2 linked regions of the Callithrix jacchus genome follow. The protein of the gene in region 2 purifies or fractionates together with the protein of the main gene of each other region. This does not show direct contact. Links are inferred from orthologs where the notes say so. Each region holds a gene or a part of one and is shown on either strand. Other genes may lie near its edges. The genes, in order: POLR3B and POLR3E.

Evidence for each region.
Region 1: the proteins of POLR3E (region 2) and POLR3B purify together in Homo sapiens (affinity purification with mass spectrometry; 8 studies listed by BioGRID and IntAct, counting the BioPlex papers as one, with this or other methods). This does not show direct contact. The link is inferred for Callithrix jacchus from reciprocal best matches to the Homo sapiens genes POLR3E and POLR3B.

What each region holds. Positions count from the first base shown.
Region 1 is NC_133510.1:109,224,478-109,228,994, forward strand, and holds the start of POLR3B (DNA-directed RNA polymerase III subunit RPC2), read left to right. Parts: upstream 1-1,698; 5' UTR 1,699-1,773; coding exon 1,774-1,845; intron 1,846-2,011; exon of another isoform or gene 2,012-2,101; intron 2,102-4,517. UniProt on the Homo sapiens protein: Catalytic core component of RNA polymerase III (Pol III), a DNA-dependent RNA polymerase which synthesizes small non-coding RNAs using the four ribonucleoside triphosphates as substrates.
Region 2 is NC_133513.1:22,920,618-22,925,007, forward strand, and holds the end of POLR3E (DNA-directed RNA polymerase III subunit RPC5), read left to right. Parts: intron 1-2,004; coding exon 2,005-2,130; intron 2,131-2,985; coding exon 2,986-3,042; 3' UTR 3,043-3,754; downstream 3,755-4,390. UniProt on the Homo sapiens protein: DNA-dependent RNA polymerase catalyzes the transcription of DNA into RNA using the four ribonucleoside triphosphates as substrates.

The sequences.
Region 1 (4,517 bases), on a different chromosome or scaffold from region 2:
GACCAGCCTGGCCAACATGGCTAAACCCCATCTGTTATAAAAATATAAAAATTAGCCAGACATGGTGGCAAGTGCCTGTAATCCCAGCTACTCAGGAGGCTGAGGCAAGAGAATCGCTTGAACCCAGGAGGGAGCAGTGAGTCAAGATCACACCACTGCACTCCAGCTTGGGAGACAGAGTAAGACTCCATCTCAAAAAAAAAAAAAAAAGCAAATTTGCAGGCCCCAATTTACCAATCAGAAAGCTGAGATTGTTTTAATAAGCTCTCCAGGTGATTCTGATACACCCTAAAGCTGGAAAACCTTCTTGATAATGGAAAACAAAGACGACTTTGGCACAGACAACCAACCAACACACTTGAGCCAAACTTGAGAGCCTCTGCTATCTATAAATCACTTTCACAGTCCCTTCTAGGCTAGATGCTACATTGGTTGCAATCTGGTAATGCACAAGAATGAGACACAAGTTGTATCTTGTCGCTGTAATAAGTAAATTATAAGAACTTCAAAGGCAGGGTTCATTCTACTGTTAGTCTTTTACCCATTCTTTTCATATTTCAGATATCAGCGCAATGTTTAGAAAATACAAGCACTGAAATTTAGGTAGCTTATTAGGAAATAAGAACAATTAACCTGGTGCAAGAGTTCTACCTTTATGGGGGAGAAATTGGAAAGCCTATATGTACTTGCACATTTTCATAACTTTTCTTATAACTGTAAAATATACATAAAACTTAGCATTTAACCATTTAAAATGATGTACAGATCAGCAGCATTAAATACATTCACATCGTTGTGCAACCATCACCACTATCCATCTATAGAACTTTTGCATCTTCCCAAACCGAAACTCTGTACCCATTAATTATGGTGCATTTTGTCTCGTTTTTTTCTAACAGGATTTTTCTTTCTATTGATTTGTATGAGCTCATTTTAAATTAGAGAGGCCAGCCCTTTGTCATCTGCCAATTTGTTTTTTGTTAATTCTATTCGTTTTTAAAAATATGTTCATAGAATCACTAAATCAGGTTTAGAATATAAAATCCTCTATGAATTGACTGTGTTGCCGTCTTGAAAGCCTTCATCATCTCAATGTTATGAATATATTCACTTACATTTTCGTCTAAGTTTTTGTTAACATTTCAATATTTAAACCACATAGGATTCACTCAGATGTATTTTATCCCCAAATGGGTAATCAGCTCTTCAAACATCATTTACTAGACAGGCCATCCTTCCCCTACCGTCGTAAATGTCATCTTTTCATACTAAATTTCTCCATGCGTTGGTATATACTCGTACATCTTCCATTTAGTGCTTCTGAGAATTTTCAACACTATTCCATTACACTCATGTACCATTTATTTAACCAATCACCTTTTATTAGGCACCTTTTATTAGTTCAAGTTGCGTAAATTATGCGTTTACACATTTCTTCGGATTACTTTTTAAATGACAACCACTGTGTTTTGCTGGTCTCAAGCATCAGAGAATTGGCAAGAAATCTGACAGCTGCGGTTTAGAATAACCCGCGCCAGATCTCCGAGCTACACCAGAGGGCGCAGTTTCCCGACTCGGCTTCGGTCACATCCGGGTTCCACCGCAGATTCGAGCTGGGAGCAGGCGGAACCTTTCTGCTGCGTCTCTAGCCAACAAGCACGGCGGGGACAGTTTAGGCCTCCGCGCACCGTTCCCCGGGAGTCTTGCAGTTTGCTTGGGGCAGGGAAGGCGTGCGCGGAGGTTTTATCTGTTTCTGTCTCCTTCGTGAGCAGTATGGACGTGCTGGCGGAGGAGTTTGGGAACCTGACGCCCGAGCAGCTGGCTGCGCCGATCCCTACTGTAGAGGTGAGTGCCAGGCACGCAGGCAGCGTCAGCGGCCGAGAGGCGCCTTGAGGGGGCGTTGCCCAGAGTGTTCGGGCCGGCAAGGGGGCGGGCTTGCGGTTTCTGCGCATGAGCTGGGGTTCTGCGCATGAGCTGGGGTTCTGCGCATGCTCACAGCGTCCCGCGTGCTAGTCTTCACAGCCGGACTCCGCGTGCGCGAGTGAAGGCAAAGCCAGGAAGAGCTGTCAGCCGCTGCTGGGGTGGAGCTCTTCCAATATAGGTGTGCGTGGAGAGCACTGGCCCTCGCACTTACTTTGGGGGACGTATTGCATCTTTTCAGTCTTATAAAGGACACTGAGGGCCGGGGAGCTCAGGCCATTTGCATGAGGGACCACAGCTGGCTGTGGTGGTAAAACCAGATCTTCTGAATTCCAGGCTAGTCATCTTTCTTTTTAACTTGGAGTTCAAGTTGGGGTTGCAGGGGAATTTTAGTTCTGAGTATTTACTAAAGAATTATGCCTGTGTGTTTTCTGGGGGAAAGGCTCCATACGTTTCCTCAGATTCTCAGAGGTTAAGGACAGCTGTCCCACAGCGAGCTGCCTAATGAAGTGTGGCTGTCGACATATCTTGTTTTCTGATAAGGCACATGTTATAGTCTCTCTGAGCCTCAAATTCTGCATTGACGTGGAATAGGGAAGTAGAGACATGTGACCAGAGAAGATAGCAAGGGAGAGATTTCAGGGAGAGAGAACAGGATACTTGAAACCTCTTAGGCAAGACCATTGGATGTTTTTGAGGAAGGAAAGTAAATCCAGTAGTATTCGAGTGAAGAAAAATAGAGGAGAAGAGATAAAAGATGGGGGTTAAGTAAGGGTCTTGATTATGAAAAGTTTGGATAAACATCTGACAGGGCTTGGACTTTGTCTTGGAGCAAAACTTTTGAAGGGTTTAAGCAGAATAGTGACATGATCAGTAAATCTGTCAGATTAATAAGAACCTCCTTGGCTAGGTGTGGTGGCTCATGCCTGTAATACCAGCAGTTTGGGAGGCCGAGGCGGGTGGAACACTTGGGCTCAAGAGTTGGAGACCAGCGTGGGCCACATGGCAAAACCCTATCTCTACAAAAAATACAAAAATTAGCCAGATGTGATGGCATGCACTTGTCCCAGCAACTCAGGAGGCTGAGGTGGGAGAATCACTTGAGCCTTAGAGGTCACGGCTGCAGTGAGCCATTACTATGCTACTGCACTCCAGCCTGCGTGACAGAGTGAGACCTTGTCTCAAGGAAAACGAAACAAAACCTCTTTATACTTTGACAAGTTAAGGAAGTTGAATTAGCAGTTCATCAGATTCAGTCTATGTGTGCATGCAATAGGCTGCTGGATCATCATCAGGCAAAATTGTACTGGCCGAGTGCGGTGGCTCACACTTGTAATCCTAGCATTTTGGAAGAACAAGGCGGGCGGCTCTCTTGAGGTCAGGAGTTCGAGACCAGCCTGACCAACATGGTGAAACCCCATCTCTACTAAAAAAATACAAAATTAGCCAGGCTTGGTGGTGCATGCCTGTAATCCAAGCTACTTGGGAGGCTAAGGCAGGAGAATTGTCTGAACCTGGATGGTGGAGGTTGCAGTGAGCTGAGATCGCGCTGTTGCACACCAGCCTGGGCAACAAGAGTGAAATCCCGTCTCGGGGTAGGGGAGAAAAAGCCAGCCTTCACTGCATTAAAAGCCTGGTACGTGGTTAATCTGGAACATGGACTCTTGTCAGTTTGACTACAGAGTCTTCATCCTTAACTGCTAATCAGACTGCCTCTCCAGAGCGCTGAAGAAATAAGCCTGGGAGATTTCTATTTCTTGTCTGAATTTACACAACTATGAAGTGATCAGTGCCATAATTGCAGCCTTCTGATTCAAGAATAAAGATTCTCTTCTGGCACTCTCCACCATCACCTCTAAAAGGTCTTGAGTTCTTAATCTATGCATGTCTGAAATCTCATTTCCCACTGTTTTCCAACCCAGAACCACTCTTCTCTCTTACCTCCAAACTGGCCTACTTGGCACCTGACTTGTCCCAATCCAGTCTGTTCTTTGCTCTGCAGCAGAGCTGTCCATTTAAACACACAAACATGATTATATTGCTCCCTTGGTTAAAATTCTTCAATCTCTGCCTGCTGCTCTTAGGGCAAAATACTAGTGTTTACCGCGTTTGTAATACATTTCTGCAGTCTGGCCACTTCTTACTTCTGTAGCCTCCTTTCCCGTGATTCTCTCCGTCTCTCCCATGAGATCTTTCTACTCTGCTCACACAGTTCCTTCTGGATCTCTCACCCATTCCTATTTGTAGATTAAGTCCCACATTTCTATGATATAACTTCCCTAGGAAGGCCTTTTGTGATTCTACCAGAAGATGGTAGATCTCTGTACTTGCTGCCATTTCCTTTTAAACTGAGATATTAAAATATTTATTGAAACTTTCCGACGTCAGTGTTTTCTCTGAAACTTTTTCTAGATAGGAGCTCAGTTTTGCTTGAACTGGCCATGCCTGGTGTGTTTTTTTGTGCTGAGGGTAGCACAGCATCACGGTAGTATGATAGAAGAAACAACACAAGCTTTGCAACCAATTGATCACTTATTTGTTGAATAAATATTTGTCATTATTACTGAGTACTTACCTGGTGGTGTATTGTTCACAGG
Region 2 (4,390 bases):
TGAGATCGCACCACTGCACTCCAACCTGGTGACAGAGCAAGACTCCATCTCAACAAAAATAAAAAAATGCCAGTTGGTCTGACCTTGTCTAGGTCCTGCTCCTAAGGTGTGAGAAGGGAGTGAGCAGAGGTCCTGCTGAGCTCTCTGTCCCCAGCTGCCTCTTAAGGGGAGCCAGCTGGCAGGGTGAGGATCTAAAGAGCTGGGTCTTTTCCTGAGCAAGCTTGGGTGCTTTTGGCCAGAACAGAGGGCATCAGAAGTACTTTGATAACCAAAAGGAAAAAAGTAAATGCAGATTTTTTAAAAATCAAAAGCTTTTTCCCTGACAACTGCTAACAAAAGTAAAAGTAAAAAGTGTTAATAGTAAAGCTCTTGCACCGCCTGACCTGACCGCCACTCCTAGAGGTGACCACTTTTATTACTACTTTTTTTTAATGGAAACGGTCTATGTTGGCCTGGCTAGTCTTGAACTCCTAGCTTCAAGCAGTTCTCCTTCCTTGGTCTCCCAAAGTACTGGGATCATAGGCATTTAAATCACCAAAAGATACCACTAAAAGAGTTGTCCCATCTTTTAAAAAAAACCAGCTTGTTATTAGCAATGGGCCTGTCACTGTCAATGAGATTTAGCTCTCAACTATTTTAGGAGAATGTAGAGATGTAAAGATAAGTTATGCCAGTTTTTTTTTGAGACAGCATCTGGCTCTTGCTTTGTCATCCAGGCTGGAGTGCAGAGGTGCCGTCTCAGCTCACACCTCCTGGGTTCAAGCGATTGTTATGCATCAGCCACCCAAGTAGCTGGGGTTACAGGCTTGTGCCGCCACACCCAGCTAATTTTTGTATATTTAGTAGAGATGGGGTCTCACCATTGTTGGCCAGGCTGGTCTTTACACCTATTTTTTAGTTTAATTGGCTATCATTGTTTATATATGGCATTGTCATGGAATGAATTGAAAATCTGTTCATTTTAAGGCCAAGTATCAGTAATATACAATGATTGCATTTCCTTATTCACTGCTTCCTGTTTTCACTTGTCTAATGTTCTGAACACGTGTATTCTGAACACACATACCAAGGGTGATAACTTTGCTTAATTAAGCTAAGTTCCCTGGAAGCTTCTCCAGTGAGACTGGCTTTTCCCCATGTCTGTTGCTGAATTCTAGAATCTCTGCTTCTTCCTTGCTTTAGCTTCTAAAGAGGAGTTGTCTGCATTCTTTCATGTCTTAAACTGGCTTTCTTTTAACCCTCATGTATTACTATTTGTTACTATTGTAACTTACCTCTTAAAATTCTAGGCCCAAACAGTAATACATGAAGCATCTTTAAGAGAGTTGTCCATTAAGTTTTCAGAATTGGTCTTTTAAATTTAGCCTATATTCTTTCCTTTATCCTAAACTGAGGAAGTTTTCATTATTCTATATATCAGCGCAATTTCAGATGTGCTCTGGTGTGGGTCATTACTGTACTAGACAATTGAGTTCTTACAAAATCCTGTTAATTTTTTTTTTTTCAGAATTCTTATGACAGATATTAGACAGTGAATTCAATCTTTTGTATTTGATTTTTATTTTGGGGTGTAATGTATTTTATGGCATCCTGTTTCATGGATGCATGGCATGTTTGCGTTTTCACACCAGTTTTGACACACTCTTCTCATCTCTGGGCAGCTTACCTGCTAAGTCAGATACACTCCTGCGTTTTCCCCTGCAGAAATATGTTTAAGCCACTCATCCTCTCATGTCTTTTCACCAGTTCTTTTGTTGTGCTGGCATATACCTTTATTTTTATTTATATTCAAGTTTCCACACACAGCATTACTACCTTTATTTCTGTACACTGGCATGCTGGTTCTCTACAGATGACTTGGCTCATCTTTAATCAGGAGTGCTGGGTAAGGGTTTTATCAGAGACTGCAACACAAAGTTAGGTGCATGGCTTGGGTGTCTTGTTCGGGGATGGTTCTCTTTTTAAATCACTGTTTCCCATAATAACATGCTTTTGCTACTAAAGCATCGACAGGTTTTGCTTGAAATTTTTTCCAAAAATTACCGAGTACGCCGAAACATGATCCAGTCTCGGTTGACTCAAGAGTGTGGAGAAGATCTCAGTAAACAGGAGGTGGATAAAGTCCTGAAGGTACATTCGTTTTGTGCATAACAAACAATATCAAAGGCTCTGCAAGGGGCTGACAGCCTGTAGAAAGGACTCGTGTGTATATGAAATCAGGCTTCCCTGGGACCCCTCCCCAGTCAGTCAATGATTGGCATTGGTGGGAAGAAGGGAGGGGGTATGTGCAAGAGGACTGACCCCTTCAAACAGTATAGTCACAGGGGAAAGTTTATAGCCATGAGTGCTTAGTTCCTCTTTCTGGTTGGGCCAGTGAGGCCCCTTTCTCATCCCTCTCTTCTACTTACCACTAGAGACAAAAACTAAAAAACATGGGTTCAGGCTGCTAAAACAAAATAGAATAACAAAATAAGGTGGGTTGGACAAGCTGGGCAGTGGGTTGGCATCTTCTAACATGACAGGGCCTACCTGAAAATCCTCACTCCACTCCCCCTTGAATTTTGGACTATTTTGATTGTTGCCATAGCCATATATTACTTTCAGTAGAATCCATTTTTAAATTTAGTTTAAAAAGGAATATCATGTTTACTATATGAAAGCACCTAATGTACAACCTATAATGCTTTTCTGAACTGACTGTAGTACAAATACCATATTTGCAGCAACACTGCGACAGAAAACTGATGACAATGTCTTTATGTTTTGATCTATTTTTTAAGCACCCTGTTCTGGGCATGTCAGCATTTGTATCTTGTAGGCCCTCACTCTTAAAATACCCCTGAGAGGCTGGTAGTAACCATGGTGGTTGATTTCCCATTTGTATTCTGTTCACTAATCATTAATCAAGTGTTGATACTGTGGACAGACTGTAGTTAACTCCCTTTCCTGCAAAAATCTGCACTTACTCTGTTTCTCTACTCATAGGACTGCTGTGTAAGCTATGGTGGCATGTGGTACCTTAAAGGGACAGTACAGTCTTGACAGTAGTAGCAAACCACTAACGCAGCACATCCAAGCCCAAGTACGAAGGGCGGAACCAGAAGTAGAGCCTCGACTTGCTTCAGACAACAGAGCAAGAGGAACTGACCATCTCATGGTGCAGTGGACAGAAGGGATCATCCTCAGCCAGTGGCAGGCTCAGTTAATCACTCCCAGAAGAGACCAGCTGGGACCTTCTTTGCAGTACAATTTGAAATTCCTGATGTATTTTGCTTATTATTTGGTTTCATTCTCATAATAAAGAGAGTGTATACTGACATGGCAGGATGATAAAAATCATGGTTTAAGATTTTTTTTTTTTTTTGGTAAACTTAATGCCAACAAGGTCTAATTATGTTTACAACATGAAGAAAACCTCAAAAGTTTTCAATTTTTACAATGCCTAGAAGACAATATTTAGTCTTGGATTATCTGCTAAGACCTCCACCGATTTCATTAGACCAAATTGAATTGCTCTACTGTTGGGATTCTGTGGCCACTTTACCTTTGACAACAACCTACGTTATGTAGCAGTCTCAACTGTTTACACGAACCATAGCAAAAAAAATTAGAATCAAATCCATCTCCTCTTAATGTTTGCAGAAAGATGCAAACAAAACCAGGTAAGTATGGAACAATGTGTAAGTGAGGTTATCATACTTTGATGTAAAAATTTCTATTTTGTGTATTTTTAAAATAAATGCTAACACTAAACTAGCATCATGGTGCTATCTTCAAATGGTTACAGGAGGGCGATCTTGGACTCAAGCGTTACATGGATCTAGAGGGAATGGAGCCAGTGGAGGGAGAAAGAGCAGCACCATCCACTAGGAATGGGCGAGTCACACAATTTTGAAAGTTTCTAGCAGCCACATTAAAATAGTTTAAAAAGGTAATATTTTAGCATATTAGCCCCAAATATCTAAAACATCAACATTTAGCAAAAATATTAATATTTTACCTTTTTTTGTATCAAGTCTTCAAAATCTGGTATTTTACACTTTCCTCAACACTGAATCTGTATAGGGTTCAGCCTTACAGGGTCCCATGAGTCCCTCTCTGCTGGTGCGGAGACGAGAAACTGGAGATAAGAGACACAAGACACCAAGAGAAAACAGAGTTTGGGCCCAGGGGTCCATTGCCAGCCAAAGTGCGAATCCAGCAGTGGCCCGAGTGCCTGGACGCTCTTTTATTTTAGTACAAAGCAGGGGGAAGGGCAGGTAGGATGAGGTAATGGTGGTCAGTGATAGGGTCAGGTAAATAATGCATCTTGGAGACGGGCTCAAGAATTTGAAGAAGCTGAGGCGAGGAGAAAACCTAAGGTGTCAGCACTTTTTTCATACTTGTCAGG